3 linked regions of the Notamacropus eugenii genome follow. The protein of the gene in region 1 interacts with the protein of each later gene in a biochemical or structural test. Links are inferred from orthologs where the notes say so. Each region holds a gene or a part of one and is shown on either strand. Other genes may lie near its edges.

Region 1 (7,907 bases):
AGCTTCTCGATGTCCCACTGCAGATCCTCCACGGACGTCTCCATCTCCAGCACCTTGGTCTCTGCTGATGTCACTTTGTCTTGGAGTTCTGAGTACTGTGGAGGTGAAGTAGCAAGGGGTGGGCTGAGTGTTCTCTTATCTCCTTCCCACATTCATCCAAGTGCCCCATGTCAGCAGTCTTACTTCCAGAGAGATTCGGTGGTGCTTTTCCTGCAGTTGGGTGGTCAAGTCCTGTAGTCGCCTGTTGTCTTGTCCAAGTTCCCTGGTTAAAGCTCTAAGTCCTTCTCCGAGGGACTCACACTCCCCTGGAAAGGTAGGGACCAATGAGAGGACAATGGCAACCAGAAGAAAAAGCTAGCAGCAGGAAATTACATGACAAACTAAAGGTTCCTAGAAGGAACTGGGGAACATGTGTAATAAATAGGTCTGCTATGGGCATCTGCAGTCAAATAAAAGCTGATATGCCTCAGTTCTGAACAGGGAAGGGGCTGAGTGCTCCTGGGTTCACCTCTGCTGTGGACTCGATGGCACAGTTCTTCTACTCGACGATGCAGTCGGTCTGAGGCCTCAACTACTCTGGACACTGCTGCCTTGGAGAACTCCATTCGGCCCTGGAGCTGAAGTTCTACCTCTTCGCTACTGCTGGCCCCCAGGGCTGCCACAAAAGCCAAAGCTGGCTCGCTCAGGGGGGGCCGAAGCTGGAGGGTGGGAAGATCTGAAACAGAGATCCAAATAAGATTGTTATATTTGACATGGGTATGCAATAGGGTGTGAAGAGCAATAATGAAAAGGAGAAATGAGAAGCAGGATCTTGCAGAAAGTGTAGTGAGGTGAATCAAAACCCTACCATAACTCCTAACAAATGGGCTTTTTATTGATAACTAACATTTATATGTCACTTTAAAACCTGTACAGTCTCCACTCTGCTTATCACTTTCTCCACAATTTTTCACTATCTCTCCCCTGCTGGTCTCACCTCTTCTGTCTGTGGTTCCTGGTTCAGGCAGAGGGGTCCCATCAAGTTCAGTGCCATCTTGAGCTCCTGGTTCCTCTATCCTAGATAGTAATTCTCCTCGTCCCTCATGCCGTCGGAGTAGAACCTCTACAGTTTCATCCAGCTGTGAGGGTGTCACAAGAGAACATGACTTTTCTGGAGGCTTCAATGGCAAAAATACCTTTCCCCAAAGGGGGACGATGAAAACTCTGAAGCAGAAGTTTAAAAAGATTTCAAGGAAGAAAAAACTGGGGACTGGCGCAGGGTCTGAGGTAGAAGGAACAAGAAAATGAAGACGCATAGCCTAGAAGAGGGAAGGGGATTGATTCTAGGGTTCTGGACTAGCTAAACTTAGGCAAAAAGGCAGGAATCATGGTTGATGGAGACATACCTGGGCCCAATAGCGGTTGACAATGAGCAATGTAGCATCATCGGTGGCCTGGCGCTTTTCTAGCTTTTCAATTCGCTCCCTCAATTCATCTTCACACGCCTGTCGTTGTTCCAGTCGCTCTGCCAACTTTTTGTTCTTGAACTGTAGCACTTTCAGGTCCATCTCCTCCTGTAGAAGGCAGAGTGAGTAAAAGAACATAAGAAAAAAGTGAGAAAGGCTGTAATAAAATGTTAAGAAAAAGAGAAATGGAAAGCAAGGCCCCATAGAAAGTATGGTGAGTCAAAATCTCATTGTAACTTCTAACAAGGGGGCCCCTAATATTGACAACCGAATTTAAACAGCACCCGACAGTTTGTAAAGTGCTTTACATATGATCTTTTAAACTACGTAACAGTCTTGCAAAGTGGGCATTACAAATTTCCCACAAGGGGAAAGTGAGGCTAGAGAAATTGTGACTTGTATCAGAGGCGAGATTCTGAACCATGTCTTCCTGACTCAAAGTCTAGCCTTCTATCAACAAAGCATTAAAAATATTAGTGAAAACATATCAACAAAAAACATCTAGCCATAAAAGTGAGTGAGTCTCTACTGGGTTGGAAGGATAACAGAGGGACAGCTGGAGTGCCACAGTGGCTCTCCCCAAACACTCAAGGAACAAGCAGACCTTCAGTGTTTTGGGCAGGTTTCCCCGCAGAACGTTTACATAAAGTCAGAGACAAGAACTGGAAAAGATGAGAGACGGGTAGACAGACTGTGATCTCTTCTCGGGAGGATGAGATCAGACTTGGATAGGTCCAATTACCTAAATGAGGACAACGCGGGGGCTTTCCTTGTGAGTTAACCTCGCTTTACAGAGCACCCTGAAGCTCCGAGGGCACATAACTGACTTGGCCACGGTCAGGGTTCCAAATACAGTGGGTCTGGGGGGGATGGCGGGGGTGAGGCGTGGGAAGCGGGGTAAGGGTGCGCAGCAGGGGGGAGGGGCCGCACTGACCGTGGAGGAGATGCCTCCCAGGCGGATGGGCTCGATAAGGGTGGTCGTGGTCTTCTCCTCCCGATTCTGCTTCTTCTCCGAGGGGCCCGAGCCCCCATCCCCGGCTGCGCGCTTGTTGCCGGCCCCAGACATGGCTGGAAAGGAGGAGGGCGACCAGAGGCGGCTCCCCCTTCACCTGAGGGAGAGGCGGGGCCCGGGGAGGCTCAGGATCCCAGTGGGGGCGGGGAGGCCCGGCTCCTTCCCGGCTCCTTCCTACCTACCTCCTCCCAGGGAGGATTCAGTTTCTCCAGGCAGCTGCCCAGGTGGCCGGCGGCCTCCTTCCTCCGGTCCTGGCCCCCGACGGTCTCAGGAGACCCCTCACCTGTCCCAGGTTCGGCCGAACGCCGCCATGATGTACGTCACCGGATGTCGCATCGAATGCCTCCAAAGCGCGCAGGCGCCGACGAGTGGGAGGGCACGTAGCTAAATTTGTCTGCTTTCTTCTCCTATTGGTCAGAGACTCATTTAGAACCGCCTCCTGCCTCCGGAACGCTTTCTTACCCAGCAGCCCATCCTCTTCTCCTTGATTGGTGAAACGACCACGTACCATGGCAACCGTCTCCATGCCGCCTTGCCCCTGTCCCGGTAACTCCACCCTCCTCTTTATTGGTAGTAGTGAGGAGACCGCTCATATTCGCGGCGGAAGATACTGCGCTTGCGCAGCATTTCCTCATTTATTGGTCCGCTCTTCCCGCTTGTCACGCCTTTACCCCCGCCCTCGAGCCGCCTTAGCAACCACTGACCCCAGCAACGACGCTTCCCACGGATTGGCTGAACAAGACTATGTCTTGATCTCGATTGGCTGACATGTTCCCACAGAGGGCAGGGCCTCCATGCTCGGACCCGTAGCTTAGGCCCGAAGGCATACAAGGCGGAGGAACAGCGGGTGGCACGATGAAACGAAGAAAATCTAGCGGAGTTTCCGAACTAAATTCTGAACCGGGATTGGGGTTGGACCCGAATTCTGAGGGGTTGCCGGACGCGGCCCCGGATCTGAACCAGGAAGCAGAACTGAATTTGGAGATGGAGAGAGAGCCAAATGGAGAGCCCGAGCCGGAACCTGAAAGAGAGAGCCCCGAGGAGCCGGGCGCCAACCTGCTGCCGGTGAGGGCGGAGCGCGCTTGTTTCTCCCGGAGGCCCAGCCGGAGGTGTATTACCTGAGCTTTCCCGGGGGCGGTACCCCCCTCCTGGGATCCCGGGGAGCGGGTCGGGTCGGCCTTTAGGACTTCAGCCCAGTCTTTGCGAAGAACCGCAGAAAGGACCCATGTCCTCCGTGCACTTCCCGCCGCGTCCCTGGGAAGGTGGGGCGGCCTGTGAACCGCAGGGGAGCTCTCGCGCCCGGGCGGCCTAACCGAGCCACCCGAGAGCGGAGATCCCCAGGCCGCTAACGTAGCAGCGTTGTCACACAACCCTCTTTCTTCGCAGCCGCCACTTCCTGAGCCCCGGATCTGCTTGTGGTGAGCTCGGGGCTGGGCCTGGGCCTGCGGGTGGGGCTGGGCTAGGTGTGGGTAGGGGTGTGAGCAGCGTGGGGTCAGCAGGGAATGGGCCTTAGGATTCTCCTAGTCCAGCGGCTTCATTTTTCAGATAAGGAAAAGGCCCTGAGAGGGCCAAGCAGAAAGCTGATAAAATTTAGGACTAGGGCTCTTGACTCTCAATCCAACTGGCACATGGTGGATTCCTCTTCCTAGCTACCTTCCAACTACCTCCCTTTTTTTCTTTTCCAATGGCAGGAAATACCTGGATGTACATTCTATGGACCTACTGGAGAAAACCACCACCTTGGAAGAGATGCAGGAGTACGGGCTAAGTGAATAAGAGGGTTCAGAAATAGATTACTTCAGAGGTCCTCCCCACCCCAATAATCTGTTTCTTTGAATGGATGAGGAAAACAGGGAGGGAGGGCGCTCACAGGAGGAGGAAAGATACTTTCCTAGGAATACAGGATGGGGTGACTGAAAAGGATCTTTTACTCCTCAACTGGTTGCTCTCTACCCTCACCTTAATCCACCCCAAGGTTGCTGGCAGAACTGCTAGGCCTGGGGCTGACAGACAGGAGCCCAAGGGAGGCAGTGCTACTGGATATGTTTTGCCACACCTTGATCTTCTGCCGGCAACAGCGTTTTTCTCAGGAGCAGACCTCAGCAGCTTGCGCTCTGCTTCAGGACCTCCACAAGGCCTGTGTTGGTGAGTTGGTGAGACCCCCTGGGAGAAGGGCCTTGCAAGGATTCGTCACATCCAGGCTGAGAAAGGTGGGTGGGAGGGGAGAGCCTGAGGTAGGCAAGGTCAGTGATGAGCACCAAATAGTGCTTGCTTGGTCCTGGCTGAGCAACTGTAGTAGTAGTAAGGGCGAGGGTGAGGCTGTCCCGGTGCAGCAGTGAAATGAGCTAGTAACCCCAGAAGCCGTGTCTCTTATTTATCCTGTAGCTATCATTCTGTACATGTTGTCTCCATTAGGTTGCGAGCTTCTTGAGGGTAGAGACTGTTTTTGTGCTCCTCGGTGCCACGGTGCCTGGCACATAGTAGACACTTAATGCTTGTTTGATTTGACTTATGAACATGGTTAACAGTAGAATATTGGGAGGGATCTCAAGAATTTTACTTCAACCTTTTGTAGAAGAGCAAATGGGCTGGGGAGGGGGGCGGACAGAGAGAAATCTCATTTATTCCAGGTGACAGTGACAGGTAGTAGCGAATAGAAATATAATAGCCTTGGAACCAAGAAGCCCTGGGTTCAAGAGTTACCTCTGATACAGACCGACACTGAACAAGTAACCTAAATTCTAACTTCTCAGTTTCTAGGCAACTCTTTTAAGAAGTTGCAGAGAAAGTGCCATCTTGCATAAACAGGGGGTTACCTCATTCCAGAGTTCCATCTATCATTAAGAGTTAAGAGGCCCAGTCCTTATTCCTATAACCTAGGTCATTTTATTCCTTTCTTTCCACATGATTAAGGGAGTTATCACTGTCACTCATTTCTCCTTCTCCACAGCAACTCCCTTGGGCAACGTGGAAGACTGTTTCCGATTTTTCACCAGCCTCCTCTTCTGCCATGGAGTCAGGGTCAGTCCCAATACAGAGGAAATGAGGACTCTGAAGAATTTAAAACATCCCCATCCAATGCTCCATCCTGTAGAATTTTTTATTTCCTTCCTTAACTACCTCAAGTCCTAGGAGGCCAAAGCTATAGTACTTTCTTCCTTTCTTTGTTCTGAAGGTTCTGTAAGAAAAAGAACCAAGCTATATATTCCTACCCTTTCCCACAGCGGCCCCCCTTCAGCATTGACCTATTTGGAGAGGAACAGCTGCTGAGTCTATCAGATTATATCATCAACACCTACTTCCGTCATTTTAAGCTCTACAAGTATGTCTTCACCCCCCAGGTACTGGTCCCACAGGATACACGAAACTTTCCAGTCTATTCCTTCTCATTTCTCTATCTTAACATAGTTGTCATTCCTCTCTCCCTCCTCTCGAACTCCCTCTGCTCTCCCAGGTGCGGTTAGACTTGTCTTTGCGATATATAGGTCTGCCTGAAGTAAAGCCCCCAGCAGATGGTAAGAAGGGTGGAGATTAAACTAGGCCTGGGAAGAGGGTTGGGAAGTATGCCATGGGGCTCATGGCTCCACTCCCTTTCATCTTTCAGTACAAGAGGAAGAAAAGGTAGTGGAGACGGTGTTACCTGTTCCCGAAGAGCCAGAACCAGAAATAAAAACCGAGCAAGAGCCAAGTAAGCAATCAAGGGGCACCTGTTTCCCTAAGCCCTCCCTGGGAAACTGTTCTGTCTTATCCTGTAGAAAAAAATGTCTTCTGCTCCCATTCTTTCTAGGTGGGCTTCCTTCTAGCCAAAGGGAGCTCCTTAAGGACTAAATTGAGAATACTGAATTGAGAACAGTGTATTTCCTACCTCTCATGACATTCCCTGATAAGGCACTGTGATACACCATGCATGAATCCTCTCTCCTCACAATGTGGGACTGAGGTTCTCTTATGTAAAAGGTTCCTTTGGCTCAAGTTTGAACCACTTTTTCAACAACCCCAGGTCCAGGCGATATACTCCGGGATTTCATCACAGCCCAGCTTACCCATGAGCTAGGACAGCTCAGGCAGTTGGTGGAGGAACGGCTGAAGGCTGGCGAGGAGCAGCTCAATAGCAGGCTGGTTGCCCTTGAGAATCCTACCTTGGTCTCCAAGAGTAAAAGCAAAGCCAAGTCACCCCTGGGGTATTTACCCAAATAAAAGCCTGGGCCAGAAGTACCCTGTTCCTTCCCCCAGGTCCCCTTTTGAGCACCTTCTCACTCCATCTTGAGACACAGCTTGTTTCCCAGTGTGCAGGATGATTTATTTCACATGAAAAATGGACAGCAACAGCAAAGATGTGAATATCATTCTCAGCTGGTCCCTTTTCCTTCCATTCAAGTCCTGTAGTCCTGAGCAACAGGGATGGGGGCACAGAGTTGGTCCCCTTTCCAGTAGCATCATCATCAGAGAGCACAAGAGAAGGGAAGAATGCCTTCGGCCAGAGTCCAAGGTGACCGAGTTGATTGAAGCTCTCAGATTGGGAAATCTGTCCTTCCCAAGGCTCTCGGGCTGGGAAGCAGACTTCTGGGGGCTCCACGATGGAGGTCTTAACTACGCAACAACAGATTCATCGTCAGTGTTGGTTGGATCTCCCTCCTCTTCTGGATTGTAGCCCAGGTATGGGCCAGGAGGCCGGTGTTGGAAGAGGGCAGCCCTGTTCTGTTGCTCGCCCTTCTTTACCCAGTGTCCATAGAGGCGGAAGGCACAACTGTCAATGAGTTGCCTCACTGGTCGGAGCCCATATGGGTCTCCTAATAGAGCTCCCTTGCTCATTGGCCTTACCCTGCGACTGCTCAGGGCTACTCGGCCTGCAGCCAACACTGTCCATACTGCTACCTGAGAGGAAAGAAAACCACAAGAAAAACAAGATCACGGACACACTAAAAGTATGAGTTGAGATTTCTGAAGATAGTTGAGTCCCAGCGAAAACAATGTCATCTCTTATCACCTAGGTCCAAGGGAAGGGTAAAGTGAGGTAGATGTGTGGTAGTAGTGGGTTTTGTTTTCCCAGGAACCTCTGTCTTGTAATATCTGCTCTCTGTTCCTTACCCTGAATCGCTGGATGGGAGAAAGGCTCCAGGCCTGGCTACCCTCACAGCGTTGGAAGAAGGGATGCTGCAGGGCCTGCTCTGCAGTCAGTCTTTCCTCAGGATCCACCTGGAGTAGCCTTGAGATCTAAGAGAGGGGTAGGGGCCATGAGACACTTCTTCTCCTGACTCCTGAACTACTACTGCATTTCCCCCACCCCTTTGAGCCTTTGATTTACTCACCAGGTCTTTGACAGTTGCTGATCGGTCATCCCATTCTGGTGACCTGAACTGGTATCGGCCCTCCATTATCATTCTTAGCATCAGGATCTGGCGTCGATGCCAGAATGGGGGAGAGCCAGCCAGGAGTGTGAACAGGATCAC
Region 2 (7,814 bases), on another chromosome or scaffold:
TCTGGGTCAAGTTCACTCAGCATTGGGCTGCTCCCCGATTATGAGCTCTTGTGGTTTACTGGCTGCCAGTCTCCTAAATTTAATTAGGCAGGAACCAAACAGAGGTTGCAAGTACAAGAAAGCCTAGATTAGAAGAAAAGGTAACAATGCTTTTTCTGAGTATAGTATCACTAAATGATACATTACCTTTTAAAATTTTATCTCACAGCTCTCACAACTGAAAAGGCTATTTTGTACATAATGGTGCAGGATGGAGTTGTAAATAGTAAATAGTAGTCTCTTACACTAGTAATGACTTTGTGAGCACTATGATTCTAAACAAAACAGCTACACAAAAATGGCAACAAATGGAATGAACAAGGCTTTATGGACAAATCGGTTCATATACATCTATATCATTTAATCCCCCTAACACTAATGGGCACTACAAATTAATGTACCTACCATTATTCTACAATTAGACAAGAAACTGAGGCTCAAACAAATTAAGTGCTTCTTCCAGGGTCAAGCAGCTAATTAATTAGGTGGTTAGAGTCTAGTAAAGAGTTTCTAAATAGCCAGCGTTTAAAGGGTAGATTCAACTGCTCAGCAAGGTGTGGCTTTTAAGAAGAGTAAGGTTCCTGAAGAAGCAAGTCAAAGTTCAGAATAATGAAGCTACCCCAGGATACAACGCTGGTGAACAACAGCGCCCAATGGACAACAAGGACAGTGCAACTACAGGAAGCTGAAGTTTTCATATGCAAGTAGTGCATATTTATTTCCCTTTTATAATTGACACTTTCCAATTCACTACCCGCCCCCCCTTATGGATAAACATCATAGCCTCTTAAGCAAGTTCAGTAGACAATCAGCAAGCTAAGTGGCAGGATTGATATATCTTCCATAATGGCCACAACTTCTTGCTAATTAACTCCAGCAAGCTCCTAAAGGTACAATTTTTTTTTGGCATCTAGAAATGTAGTACATAAAAAGTTTTGTTGCCAGAATTAAGCTGTATCCAAAGCAAAATTTTTAAAAATGCTCAGTACCTGGAACCCAAGTTGGAAACCTATTACTTAAGGTAATTGTCAAAAAAAACTAACCAATGAAATATCTGAACCATAAAATGTTTTAAAGATGTTAAAAAAAATCCAAAAGCTGAGTACATTATACAGGTGACTCTTCTAATTTTTCTGCAAAGTTCATCAAGTGTGTTACCTTCCAATAAGAGAACAAAGACAAATAGGATATGGAGTTAACAACCACCTACTTTGCCCCTTATTCAGGTAACCCTCTTTTAAAAGCTTCAATGCAGGGCTATAAAGCTATAAAGTTTTACTTGTAAAATATCGTTGCAAATTGTACAATGCTTTGCACGTAAGTATTTATCTTCATACTAAAAAAATTTTTAGTAGCATTTAAGCAGAATCATTCCATTTTCCCCTAGGGAAAAGGCACCCAGAACAGCTCAGTCTGAAGAAGAGACAGAACTGGTTCATACTTAAGGAAAAAAATCTCTCAAGCACTTCACCTGAGAACTTAAAAGGGTGTGGTGAAAGCACTCTAATTTTTAAGTAACTAATAAAATAACTTTGTGACAAACAACGCAGGTTTCTCCAGATCAAAGAAGTCATCTCAAAACACTTCTCTTTTAAGCAAAAAGAAAAAAATGTTGAGGAAAAGATAAGGCTCAAGTAAGACATTTCCTCACTACTTATATTCCTATGTATCTTCCAAGTGTTTGCAAAGGTCAGTAAATGACTTGGAAAAAAATCTACTTTGTCAAAAATCCCATCCTTATCAACAGATAAAAATCCTAAAATAAAATCTAAATGTACTACAGGGGACCCAGGTGCTTGTCACCTTCAGTACTGGCAGGAAAGGCATTTCTTCTAACCTTAAAAGTTACTAGTTCAAAGATTTATCCAACATTTCTCCACGTAACTAAATGGAATATCTGGAGAGAATGAGCTGATCCCCGACAGACCCCTAACTAGCTCTTCCAAGGACTGGTACCAGAGGTTTGGGCTGGCTCAGCACCCAGCAAGGTTGTTTTTGTTTTTGCCCTTTTTTCCCGAGGGGGGCGACGAAGAGGAGGAAGAGGAGGAAGAGAGGAAGAGGATTAGACTCCAGCTTCCACCAACTTCTCCACCCTCACGGAAGGGACAGGGGTAGCTCTGGCCCAGCCCCAACACGGGAGAAGGGATGTGGGATTCAATTAGAAAAACACAGAATTAAGATTCCGGTTGGGGGAAGGGGAGCCTCCTCCAGAGAAAAGGACACCCCGCTAGGGCATACAAAAAGAATAGAACCTGAGGAAGGAGGTGGGGGGGAAAGAAGAGACATAACCCCTCCCGTACAAACCTGGGGGTGTCACCCGACATTCGCCTCATTAAAATAACAAATGAAACCCAGGCAGGCAAAGAAGTCAGCTCCTTCCCCTTCCCCCTCCCCCCGGCTCCAAACCTGGGGGTGTCCGATCACCTTCCTCTATTACAAAAACAAACGAGGCTCGGACAGGCCCTCCTCCGTTCCCCAAACCCGGGGGTGTCGGACGCCCCCTTCTACGGATGGGGATGGAGAAGTGGGCGACGCTGGAGGCCTGTGCAGTCCCCTGCCCCCACCCTCAGCTCCGTTTTCACCTAGGAAAGGGAAGGAAAAAATGGGAATTCCCTAGGCCTGGAACCGAAGGACGAGAGAGTGCAGCGAGCTCCGGTGAGGAGCCGCCTCAAACCCGGCCCGACCCCCAGCCCCAACCCGGGATCTAAGACAGGCCAGGCCGCGTCGGAGCTAAAAGGAAGGTGCCCTGCGGCCTGGCCGCGCCGGGATTGGTCTCCAGTCTCCTCTTCTGCCCAAAGGCTTCGGGGAAGAGAGGAAGACAGCGAGAAAATAGGACAGGGACATCTGCTGGGGGCAGTTACCGCTTGAAGTCCCGCATGAGCCTCCTCCTGGCCGGGGTCGACATGATCCCCCCGCTCCCCCGCGGTCTGTGTGAGAGAAAAGAGTCCCGAGTTCCCCACCCCCCACCCCCCCGGCCGTAGCACTCAGGAGCACCGCCACCGCCAAAGCTTCACAAACAACCCGCAATGACTTCTTCCTCCGCTGCACAAAAGATCCCTCCGCCCTCCGCCTGTACCACTATGGCGACTTTGTAGGAGGGGGAGGAAAGGGAGGAGTCTGAACGAATTCTGCATCCTTCGTCAGAAAAATATAGAGTCTTTGACTGTATCACTATTTTTCAATGCAATATTCCTTATATTGGCCTCATTTCCTTTGCATAGTAAGTAACAGAAGCCGTATCACGAGCAATTCTGTACTAGTTCCCCCTTGATACAATCTTAGACTCGTCCGAGTGGGGAGGAGTCGGAGATGCTGGAGAGGGTGATGCAGCTAGCTCCTGAGATTTCGGGCTAGAGGAAGGACGATGACGTCAGATCACGTGATACTCGGTGATGCTGTCAACAATTCAGATGGGGGTGGGGAGGGAACTAGACCACGTGGCCCTGTGACGCAGGCCGAACTGTTTCAGAGAAGGTACTGGAACCGTGAAGTTGCGAGGAGAGTGGTCAGTTCCGCAGTGATGGAAGAACCTTCTCTTCGGGAACAGAGCTGCCTCGTCCCCCACCGGGAGCCGCGGCTGTTGTCCTGCCGCCGGTCAGGAGGTAGCAGACGCACTGCTCGGTCGGAATGAAGGCTTGCCCTTCTCTTTGCCTTCAAGACCTGGGGACTTGGTCGTCGCGGGCACTCCCTCTCCGGGCGCACGTCGCTGCCCTCTTGTTCTTGAGAGTTCCTGGGGCGGAACAAGTCCCTGCCTAGCGGCCCCCTGCTGATCGAGACTCCAAATTTAACTAGGTTGGTTAGTTTTCAGAAGGTGGACACGGACCCGCCCTGAGCCAGGGGCTTCTTTAAAATCTTTAATGTAGTGTCAATATAATTTAAGGCTTAGCCCTCCCCTCCCCCCAAAAAAGAAAAACCAGGCCAGAATAAAAATATTCTCAGGCTGTTGAAAAGTGATTTCGGTGTATCCCCCTGTAGGGCGGTAGTAGAGAGGAAGAGCTTTTGTACGCCCTTCCAACAAAGAAGAATAAAATGTCCCAGTGTGCGTGGACATCTTCTGTTCTGCGCTGAGGTCATTCTGGAGCTGGAAACCCCAGGGAGGTGCGTGCGTGGGGGGGTGTGTGTGTGGTGTGTGCGTGTGTGTGTTTTCAAATTATCTTAGAATTTCAGGCATAATGTCTTTTTTTCTTGAATGAGCACTATTTCATTCGAGGATTTGTATCACAATTCGTGGATTTTGTCTATAAGAAAGCCTTGATTCTGCTTTGAAAAAAAAAAAGTCGGAAGATAGAAGGTTGGCATTTGATATAATATTGTGTTTTGTGTCTTGTGTTTTTCATTTGTTCAAGAACTGTTTGTTAATAAGTACTGTGTGCAAGGCACATGCTAGGTGCTAGGAGAGATGCAAAGCTAACTAAGATCCCTGTGAGATACAAAGATAATTACGGTATAATCCGCGTCCCAGTGGAATTCTCCATCTATCAGGAGCCTGGAAATGATAAAGGATATAAACAGAGTCTATCTTATTAATAGATTTTTATAATAGACTTTTTGAAAGACACTTAGTAAATAAAGGTAGGATCCAGTTTTCACTGGCTTGTCCCCCCCAAGGTTAGAAAGCTCTCTTCTAGTCTCCTTCCATTAGCTTCACAGGCTTTCCTGAAGTCTTAGCTAAAGTCCTACCTTCTGCAAGAAGCCTTCCTGGTGCTTCTTAATCTTAATGTCTTCACTCAGCTGACCTCCAATTTATCCTGTCTATATTTTGTTTGTATGTAGTTACTTACATGTTTCCCCATTTAGACTGTGAACTCCTTAGGAGTAGAGGGGATTGTTTTTTTTGTTTTTGCCTTCCTTTGTATCCCCAGTGCTTAGCACGTAGGTTGTGTTTAATAAATTCTAGTTGACTGAGTACTGAATACAAAATAATTTCAAGGTGGAAAGAGTGCTATTAGAAAAGGCCTTATGTATGAGATGGCACCTGAGCTGTACTTTGAAGGAAATTCAGTCTCTGAGACGGAGATATAGAGGAAGTGCCCTTTAGAAACAGGATGACCAGCTGTGCAAAGGGATGGAGATAAAAGTTGGAGTATTTGCTTCAGTTACTAGTAGATCGGTTTGATTGGATTGGAGATGGTAAGGGGAATAAGATGAAAGAAAACTAGAAATGTAAGTGGGAACCATATTGCAGAGGGCTGCAAATGCCAAACTAATGATTTTGCATTTTATCCTGGAGACAAAGATGCATTTAAGATTCTTGAGTAGGGGGTTGACAAGAGATGAGTTTTAGGAATGTGAATTTGGCAGCTGCATTGAGAATGGATTAAAAAAGGGAGAGACTGAAAGTATTGGGATACAATTAGGGAAACTATTATAAACAAAACAAAAGGTGATAAGGGCTTGAACTAGGGAAGAGGCTGTATGAGTCAAGCAGAGAGGATGGATATGAGTGAGGTGAGGAAATGGGAATAACAAGACTTAGCAACTCATTGGATATGGGGATTAAGGGAGAAGAAAGAGTCCAGACCATGAACCTGAGTGACTGGAAGAATGGTCATACTATTAGTAGAAACAGGGATACTGAGGCATTGTGTTATAGTTAAAAGAGTGCTGGGTTTGGAATCAGATAAGGGTGCAAATCTTGGATTTGGACAAGACACTAACCTCTCTGTGCCTTATTTTCCATGCTTGCAAAAAAGAATAGTTTGACTTAAGATGGCCTTTAAATCAAATCTATAATCTATGAACCAGAGAAGGGTTTGGAGGGAGGGGGGAATAATGACTTATATTTTAGACACGTTGAGTTTGAGATGCATCCAGATGGAGATGGCTAGCAGGCAACTGGTGATATGGGACCAAAGTGCAAGACAAGAGAGATTAGGGATTCAAAAGATGTGAAGGTAGGCTTTGATAGTACTGCCTGATAATTGATGGAATATAAGGTGAGGAAGAGAGAAGAATTAAAGATAAGCCTAAGGTTATGAATATAGAACACTCAATAAATAGTGGTGCAACAGACAGAAATAGTGAAGTTTTAGATATACTGATCTTGAAATGCTGGCAGAATTTCAAAGTAGAGATACCCCAAAGGTGGCTGGAGATGTGACTAGAGCTCAAGAGAGGGCAGGACTAGAAAATCAGATATATTTGAGTCACTGGGTTCTCTGTAGGAGATTTACTGAAAGACAAAGGCAAGAACTGCACAGAATGAGAAGATGTGGAGGAATGGATTCCTCCAAGAGAGCACCTTTACTAATAAGACCACAGATCCTTCAAAGCGTCAAAGACTTGTCCTATTTTTTGTCCCCTTTGCCAATCTGATGGGTATGAGGTAGAATCTCAGAGTTGTTTTGTCTTTCCCTAATTATTAGTGATTTAAAGTATTTTTTAAGTATGGCTATTGATAGCTTTGATTCCTCCTCTGAAAACTGCTTGTTCATATACCTTGACTCCGTTAGTTGAAGAATGACTCTTTTTCTTATAAATTTGAATCAGTTGCCTGTATATCTTAGAAATGGGAATTTTATCACAAAATATTGCTGCAAAGGTTTTTTCCCCCCCATTTACTTCCTTCTTTTCACATTTTAATTCCATTGGTTTTGTTTGTGCAAAACTTTGTAATTTTATGCAATCAAAATTGCTGTGGTTTTTTTTTTATCTATTTCATCATGAACTCCTCTTATTTCCTGACAGGAAATTTTTTCCTTGTTTATCTATTTTACTTACGACATCACCCTTTACGTCTAAGTTATATATCCATTTGGAGTTTATCTTGGTAGACATAGGACACCAGTCTATACCTAGTATTTGCCAGACTGATTTCTATTTTTCCTAACACTTTTTGTAAAATTGTGACTTCTTACGCCAGTCAGTGGAATCTTTGGATTTATCAGGCACTGGGTTATTGTGCTTATTTGCTTTTGTATATTGTTTATGTAATCTGTCCCACTGATCAACCTTTTTATTTTTTAGCCAGTACAAAATTGTCTGGATGATTATTGCTTTGTAGTGTGGTTTGAGATCTGGTGCTGCTAGGCCCTCTTTTTCCTCTTTTTTTTTTTTCCCTATCAATTCACTTGAGATTCTAGGGGTGGGGAACCTGAGGCCCTGAGGCCACATGTGGCCTTCTGGGTTCTTAGGTGGGGCATTTTGACTGAGTTCCAGTTTTAAGAACAAATCTTTTTATTAAGGGAATTTGTTCTGTGAAGTTTGGATTCAGTCAAAGAGCTGAACTTTTATTTCTCCAGATGAACTTTATTATTTTTTCTAGTTCTATAACATAACCCTTTGATAGTTTAATTGCTATAGTACTGAATTAGTAAATTAATTAAGGTAGCATTGTTATTTTGATTATATCGGTTCAGCCTACCCATAAGCAAATACTATTTCCCAAATTATTTACACCTGTCTTTATTTGTATAAAGAGTGTTTTGTAGTTATGTTCATATATTTGATGCATATGTCTTTTCAGGTAGACTGTTTTATATCTTCTGTAATTATTTTAAATGAAATTTTATAGCTCTTTCTGCTGAATATTGTTGGTAATGTAAAATAATGCTAATGATTTATGTGGGCCTATTTTATACCCTGCAACTTTTCTAAAGTTGTTAATTGTTTCAGTTAGTTTTTAGTTGAATTGCTAGTGTTCTTTAAGTAAACCCTCATATCATCTGCAGATGATCACTTTGTTTTCTCTTTGTCTGTGCTTATTCTCTCCATTTCTTTTTCTTGCCATTGCTATAGCTAACAATACTAGTATATATTGAAGAATAATGGTGTTA
Region 3 (7,261 bases), about 310 Mb from region 1:
AAATTTTTATCTATAAGGGGAAAAATATGAAGATATCTCCAGGGTCATGAGGAAAGTGGAAAAGAAAGCTAGGAAATACTTTCAGTGTTACCAATTGCTTACATTTGCCACAGATATCTCAAACTTGGGTTTTCAATTGCCTCTGAGGATTTAAAAGTTATCAGAAAGATATGAACTTGAATGCTTTTAAATAAAATGAGCAATTAAAAAAAACAATCAAATTCAAATTATTTTATGCCTTTTTTAAAAATGTGAAAAGATTGGTTCTATTTATTTTCCTGATTCCAAAATAATCAGAGCTCTTTTCTATATACACCCACAGTCAATTCCTAACCTCTCCTCATGTCCCAACCAATAATACTATTATAGTCGTTAAGAATCTTCTTGGTGAAGCCAATTCAATTTCTAAATGTACATCTTACTTCTAGATTAAGTTAAAGGATCAAAATATTCTGACCAAAAAATAAAGAACACTGATGAGATAAAAGTGGCAGAGTTCACCACTAATAACATAATTCTGTTCTCTATTTCATAGATTGATTTTGATTGACCGTACCAAAAAAAAAAAAAAATTTCAATAGGTACAAAATTTTTGTAAGTAAAACTACTTACCACCATCCCTCTCTCTAACTCTGTGAGTATGCACACTTTTTGCTTTACTGTGACCTGTGCTGTCGCTATATTTGTTTTCAGGACTATCAGATCGTCGTAACATTTTATTTGGTGGTGAAGGATCTGTGGTGTCTCGCATCTTTTCATGTCGGTGATCGCCACTACTGGGGTGACTCTTCGATGAATATTTAAGAGCCTACAAAATATCATACAAAGAAAAGCACAGACCTTTAACTTGAGTCCTTAATTATGACAACATGAAATTTATTTCGTTAAGTTTTATGACTTAAAACATCAATTTTAATCAAACATGATTCAAGAAGTCAATGTGTCTATAAATAGCAATGATTCAAAATAATGAGATCTCTAATCACTCATTTAAATATTTCAGAATATTTGCTTGAAACGATCTTGGGGCATCATTCCTTAATAAACCTTTCTGGGAAAGATGGGATGGGGACAGAAATGACCTTATAATACTATACAGTGAGAGTCAAAAGAGACTCAAAGGTCATATAGTCCCACTACTTCATTTTATAAATGAGGCAACAGAAGTTCAGGATAGTTTAAGTGGCATGCTGCTGCCACAGAGGTAATAAGCAACAGACTGAGATACGAACCTAAATCCTCTGATCATATACTATCAGCATTCTGTCTACTGTTTCATGGTGATTTCCTATTGTCTATATTCCCCAAATTATTTGGACATTTTGGTATCTATTTATCCACCCAATTTAGCCATTATCCATTTCTAGGGATTGTTAAAGCATAAGAAATCGATAGTTGAGTACTAGGTCATCCATTTCTGCCCTAAAAATTCATCTATGTATCTAAACAGGCGCCAATGGATTTCATTTACAAGAAGCTCTTTAATCACAAATTTCATCTCTGTACATGCAAAAAAAAAAGGAATCAGAATTAACCTTAAATTAACCGTAACTTAATTTCTGACTCTGGGATCTTATGATACTAAATACTTAATTTTAAAGCTAAATAACCTAAGGTTCCTTTCTAACTCTGGGATCCTACGTTATTAAATATTTAATTCTAAAGGTAAATTAAAATGCAGAGGATAACTTTGAAAAAGTGCTGCCTTTGTAATAGAACCAGACTTACATTCTCCTTAGAGAATTAAGCAGGTCGTTTCAGGCTATTATAATGTGCAATTATATCAAGGAAAACATGACCTATCCTTTAACATCTTCAAAACAAATATTATGCTGTATGACACACTGTAGTGCGTTGTAACTTACTTGGTTTGAGGTACAAACGCACAAGAAGTCAAGAAATTTTGAATAAGAGGATTACTAGCTGAGGGATCTGCAGATCCCTCTCATTTAGACCCCTAAGTGTCCTCTGACAGCTGTCATCCATTTTTGATAGCTTTTGAAAAGTCATCCATTTCAAAGAACCACAAGGACTGTCCTACGTAATTTCTGATGAGACACTGGTCAAGAGCTGCCCTGAAAAGGAACCAAAACCCCTCGAATCCCCGATGTCTCCTCAGGACATAGCTCCCAAGTGTCCAGGGCTGGCTCCTACTCTGAACAGGCAGTGAAATCACTCCGGACTGGGGTTCAGACTTTTGGTACACTCCCATAGCAAAGAGAATCAACTCGCTGCCTTTTTAAAATTTCAGCAGGCTGCCACTCACGAAGACCGCCCTCCCCCCAAAATTTAAACTAGTCCCTCTCTGCCCTCCCCGCTAAAATATCCGGGCTGGGCTCGTGGGCTCTCCGGGGCCCCCCCATGCGGGCCGGGGGCAGTCGTTCCACCAATCCGAGCCCGGCTTTCGTGGGGTTCCGGGGGGCTGGTTTCGGGTTCGTTGCCCCGCAGGGCCTGCGCCGACGGCTGAAGCCTAAGCTCGAGTAGCAGCAGTCGGTCCCTCCCTCCGCCTTCCCCGGCCGTCCCTCCCCTAGGACTCGGCTGGTACCTGGTAGGGCTGCGAGTCCCCCCTCCGGTCGTGACAGCTGAAAAACAGGAAGACAGACAGCGACATTAACACCCCGAGAGGGAGAGGCGAGCAGAACCCCCCCCCGCCCCCCAGGACCCGAGGCCGGCCGCCCACGGGCCCGGGCCGACCGCACGGCCGCGGGGCGGCGGCGCCCAGGAGCCCCCGGCGGCCCGGCCCGGCCCGCGGCCGCCCCCGCCGCCTCCTCGCAGGCCGGCCCGGATCGGGGTTAACAACAAAAATGGCGGCTCGGCCCGAGCTCGATAAGGAGGAACATCCCCCTCCCCGCCCGCCGCCCCCGGCGCGGCCCGGCCCGGCCCCAGCCCGGCCAGAGACAGACATAGAGAGAGAGAGGATTTACCCATCACTGAGTCTCTGCTGTTTCCTCGCATACATTACCATCAATGCCCGGCCTGTGTGTGTGTGTCGGGGAGGGGGGGAGAGGGCCGCGGGAGGCGGGAGGCGGGCGGGCGGGCGGACGGGCAGCGGCGGCGGCGGCGGCCAGCACCCCCTCAGCGGGTCTTAGCGCCGCTCCGTTACTGGCGCCGGCGCTCTCGGGCCATGGCCCTCCCCCGGCGCCGCGCACACGCTCGCTCCCGCTCGCTCGCCCGCTCGCTCCGTCCGTCTCTCGCTCGCTCGCTCTCGGCGGGGGCAGCGGCGCCAACTACACCGCGGCAGCGGCGCACCGGGGGGAAGGGGGGAGAAAGAAGACGCGACCGGCTCGGCCCAGCGGAGAGCGACGGCTTCCTCCGCCTTCCCCTCCTCCTGCTCCTCCTCCGCCGCCCCCTCCTCCTCCTCCTCCTCCTCTTCCTTCTCCTCCACCTCCTCCCCCCGCCGTCGCCGTCGCCGCTGCCGCCTCCTCCTCCTCCTCCTCCTCCCGCCGCCGCCGCCGCCGCCGCTGCCGCTGTTGGTGCCGCCGCCGCCGCTGCCGCCGCTCCTCCAACTACATCCGGGGAACTCGGACGCCACCGCCTTCGGAAAACATCGGCAGTTTCCGCCAAGCCGCTCCTCCCCTAGCGCTTCCTCCGTCTCCCCTCCCTTCCCTGTTCCCGAACGCCGAACTCGGCGTACTTCGCCTCTTCGCGACCCGTCGGCTCCTTCCGGTTCCGCCGCTTCCCTCCCCATGCGTACGTCCTCCTCCTCCTTCCTCTCTCCCCTCCCCCTCCGCCCCTGCGCCTCTCCTCGGAGCGCGCCGGAGGCCTCTGGTCGCCTTCTGTGTGTGTCCGAAGGAAGCCTAAGCTGCTGCGGCAGTGGTGCGCCCCGAAGTTCGATACCGGCTTCCCGCCGTGGAGGCGGCTGCCCTCGGAGGAGGGGCTGGTGGGTGCCTCGGCCCGGGCGGGCGGGAGCGGACCTACTGCGGGAGGGAAGGGGGTACGGACCGCGCTCACCCCGAGGGCCAGAAGGACATTTGTGTCCGGCTTAGAGCCCCCCGCCGCTCTTACGCTACAGGGATTTATAGGAAAGCCGAGGTCGGCGCCGGGGCTTCCGCCCGGGGCCTCCGGGTCCGCCCTAGGTGGCGTGGAGGGAAGGGAGGCCTCGAGGCCTATGCGGGTACCTGTATGGAGGGAAGGAGACGAGGGTCGGACTGAGGCCCCGCCATGGCCAGTCCGACCCCGCAGCCGGGGGAGTCTGTAGGCTCGGGCCTTGTACCCCGCCGGCGCCGGGGGCCTCGGTCCGGCCCTGCCCTGCCGGCCTCCCCTGCCGGCCTCCCCTGCGTCCTCCGAGAACTATGCGAGTCGCACCCCCGGCTTTCCTCCCACCGGTTGGTCTTCCTTCTTCACCTCCAGTGCTCCTCTTATTCTAGACGTATGTGTTGGGAAAAAATAAAATCCAGTCTGGAATTGTGTTTCTGAACGTTCGGCATTTTCAGCCTGTGTTTGGGGCGCGCGCCATTGGTTCTTTGGGAGCGTGAGGCCTGGGATTTCCCGTTCTGTTGGGCAGCAGGGATGGAGGGGGGAGTCTTTTTTTCTGCTTCCCTGATTTGGAAAAATTATCCGAAAGTTATTCTACTAAGCAGTTCTGGAGTGGGCCCTGGAACGTAGTGGGAAAGGAGACGCAATATTAAGGCAAAGAAATTTTGCTTTACGGTTTTGCATCGGGGCCTGGCAGAGACCCAGGCAGTGAGAACAGCCAGGATTTATACGCTGCCCCAAGGCTGCCTGGGAGCTAGGTGGGTGCTGTCATCATCCTCCTTTTGCAGTTGGGGAGACTTGTCTGAGAATGGGCTTCAATTAGGTCTTCTCACTCTGGGCCCGGTGCTCACCCCATGAGCCGCTAGCTGCCTAGGTACCAGTAAAAAAATCGATACCGTATGTTGCCTTTTGGAAAGTTGCCAGTCTCACCTTGCTACAAGTTGTCCTCCAGTTACTGACATTTAGCCTCCGTATTTTAGCTTATCTTCTACTTTATCCAATCTAACCAGGGCAGGAGCGTCAATCAGCAAGCGTTTATGGGCAGTCACTGTGGGTCAGGCACTGGGCAAGGTGCTGGGGATACAAAAGTAAAAATAAAGGTTCTCTGCCCTCCAGGAGCTTACAAAGAATGTCAAGGACCTGAAGTTTACAGTATCTCAGTTCCACTTTAGCCCCGAACACTCATTTGCTGCGTGATCATTAACTGCTAAACCTCAGTTTCCTGATCTGTAAAGTGAGAATAACCATTGTGCCCATCACAAAGAGCTGAGAGGTTAAAATAGAAGTTATTCTATAAGATAATATATAAGACATTATGTTAATAATATATATTACATCAGGCATTATATAAATGTCAGTAATTTGCGCCACACAATATTAGTGGAATTTCTCCATTTACAGGGATCCTTACTCCGCATAAGTCATAAAAACCTGTTGTCTGTGTTCATAATTGCTATGTATAGTTTTACTTTTTCTCAGTTTCGTTTCCAAAAGAAAATTCTTGGCTTTTACTTAGATCAGCTTTTGGAATGGAATGGAAAAGTATTCATTAAGTGCTAATCCCTGTGCTAAACACTAGCTAACAGTTATATGGTGCCTGCAATGTGGTAGGCACTTTGCTAAGCACTTTGCAAATACTTCATTTCCTCCTCACAACAATCCTTACTGTCCCCATTTTACAGATCAGGAAACTGAGGCAAACAAGTTAAAGGACTTGGCCAGGGTCCCACAGCTCCTAAGTATGTGAGGCCAGATTTGAACTCTTAGTCTTCCTGACTCTCCTCCTAGTGCTCCATCCACTCCCTAGAGATGATCCTCCCTCCCCGTGAGCTCATTCTGTTAGAGGGAGAAAACTTGAATGTAGGAGGGTGAAGATTCACAGCAGCTGCAAAATCTTGGTGATAATAAGGATCTAGCAGGCAAAGCAGCAGCAAGATGCTTTCTAGTAAGTCAGCCTTGGTTTGCAAAAAAAAAGCAATCCTCCAGGAGAACAGCTAAGATCCTGTATGAGGGCAGGAAAACTTGAATGGACACTTCTAGTACTGACTGTGTGACCCAAGGACAAAGGATTTAGACTTCTTGATCTATGAAACAGATTGTATTATATTATATTATTATTATACCCCTAGCATGGGGTATTCTAAAATCAGCCTGTCCATGCCTACCTTCCCCCACCTACCACTTCCATTACAGCTGGTGACCTAGCTGTCCTATTTTTCTGGGAAGGTTGAGGCCATCTCAGATAAGCTCCCTCAGCCTCCTTGGATTCCTCAAAATCAATAATCTTTTTCTTTTACTTGGATCACAAAAGAAGTATACCTATTTTTCACTAAGGCTAATCCATCTTTTTATATTGTAAATTCTAGGGCAGCTAGGTGGTACAGTGGATGGAGTACCAGTGCAGGAGTCAGGAGGACCTGAGTTCAAATCTCACCTCAGACACTTGACACTCACTAGCTGTGTGACCTTGGGCAAGTCGCTTAACCCCAACTGCCTCATCTTGGGTCATCTCCAGTCATCCTAATGAATATCTGGTCACTGGATTCAGATGGCTCTGGAGGAGAAGTGAGGCTAGTGACCTACACAGCCCTCCCTCACTCAAAACAAAAGTCAAATGCAAGTCATGTCATTTCTCTGATGGCATGGTCTTCTTCAGCAACAAAGGATATACACACACATTGTAAATTCTATTCCCTTTATCTTGCTTCCACCAGTCATCTTCTCATTTATTTCTTTCTCTTTCATTTTATTTTTTTTAGTCTGAGCTTAACAGCTGATAACCATGTTCATATCTATTTTAGAACCACAGAGGCAGAGCCAGCACAGCAGAGTGAGAGCAACTACTCACCTAAGCTCTTAGCCAAACTCCCTCAGATACCTCTAAAAAGAGAATCTGATCAAATTTTGGAGGTGCAGAATCCAATAGGAGACAAACTTTGGCCGTTTCACAGCCCAGGACAGACTGGAAGGTCCTGTTCCACAGGGGTAGAAGAGCATACAGCACACAGTGCAATGCTCCAGACTGCAGCAGGGCTGAGCAGGAAAGCCCTGGCCTGAGGAAGCAGCAGCACAGCAGGATAGCAGCTTAGGGCGAGAGTCAAGCAGAACGAGTGAGAGCTGCAGATGGAGCCCCAGCTATCTGCAGCAGCTGTACCAGAGACCATCAGCCCACAGATTAAATGTCTGTAAGTCATCTACTTGAACTTCTGGGAGCCAAAATGGCAGAGTGATCAGTAAATGCTCTCTCCCCTCCCCTTGTTGACCTTGAAAGAACCATAAAATATTT

What was found.
Region 2: the proteins of RNF40 (region 1) and UBE2B form a complex in vitro, tested with the Homo sapiens proteins (3 studies listed by BioGRID). The link is inferred for Notamacropus eugenii from reciprocal best matches to the Homo sapiens genes RNF40 and UBE2B.
Region 3: the proteins of RNF40 (region 1) and WAC form a complex in vitro, tested with the Homo sapiens proteins (2 studies listed by BioGRID). The link is inferred for Notamacropus eugenii from reciprocal best matches to the Homo sapiens genes RNF40 and WAC.

The regions. Positions count from the first base shown.
Region 1 is NC_092874.1:377,895,155-377,903,061, forward strand, and holds the start of RNF40 (E3 ubiquitin-protein ligase BRE1B), read right to left. Parts: upstream 3,098-7,907; 5' UTR 2,966-3,097; intron 2,865-2,965; 5' UTR 2,640-2,864; intron 2,555-2,639; exon of another isoform or gene 2,514-2,554; 5' UTR 2,512-2,513; coding exon 2,380-2,511; intron 1,554-2,379; coding exon 1,386-1,553; intron 1,119-1,385; coding exon 977-1,118; intron 716-976; coding exon 509-715; intron 306-508; coding exon 184-305; intron 96-183; coding exon 1-95. Other genes in the region: CFAP119 (cilia- and flagella-associated protein 119), read left to right, coding at 3,313-3,522, 3,844-3,875, 4,149-4,214, 4,433-4,602, 5,408-5,478, 5,682-5,798, 5,912-5,972, 6,062-6,145 and 1 more; PHKG2 (phosphorylase b kinase gamma catalytic chain, liver/testis isoform), read right to left, coding at 7,048-7,332, 7,546-7,671, 7,767-7,907.
Region 2 is NC_092872.1:340,822,120-340,829,933, forward strand, and holds the start of UBE2B (ubiquitin-conjugating enzyme E2 B), read right to left. Parts: upstream 3,100-7,814; 5' UTR 2,945-3,099; coding exon 2,901-2,944; intron 1-2,900. UniProt on the Homo sapiens protein: E2 ubiquitin-conjugating enzyme that accepts ubiquitin from the ubiquitin-activating enzyme E1 and transfers it to a E3 ubiquitin-protein ligase. In vitro catalyzes 'Lys-11'-, as well as 'Lys-48'- and 'Lys-63'-linked polyubiquitination.
Region 3 is NC_092874.1:69,112,339-69,119,599, reverse strand, and holds the start of WAC (WW domain-containing adapter protein with coiled-coil), read right to left. Parts: upstream 3,074-7,261; 5' UTR 2,983-3,073; coding exon of another isoform or gene 2,968-2,982; 5' UTR 2,966-2,967; coding exon 2,925-2,965; intron 2,583-2,924; coding exon 2,546-2,582; intron 809-2,545; coding exon 613-808; intron 1-612. Other genes in the region: uncharacterized protein, read left to right, coding at 2,968-2,982, 3,090-3,880.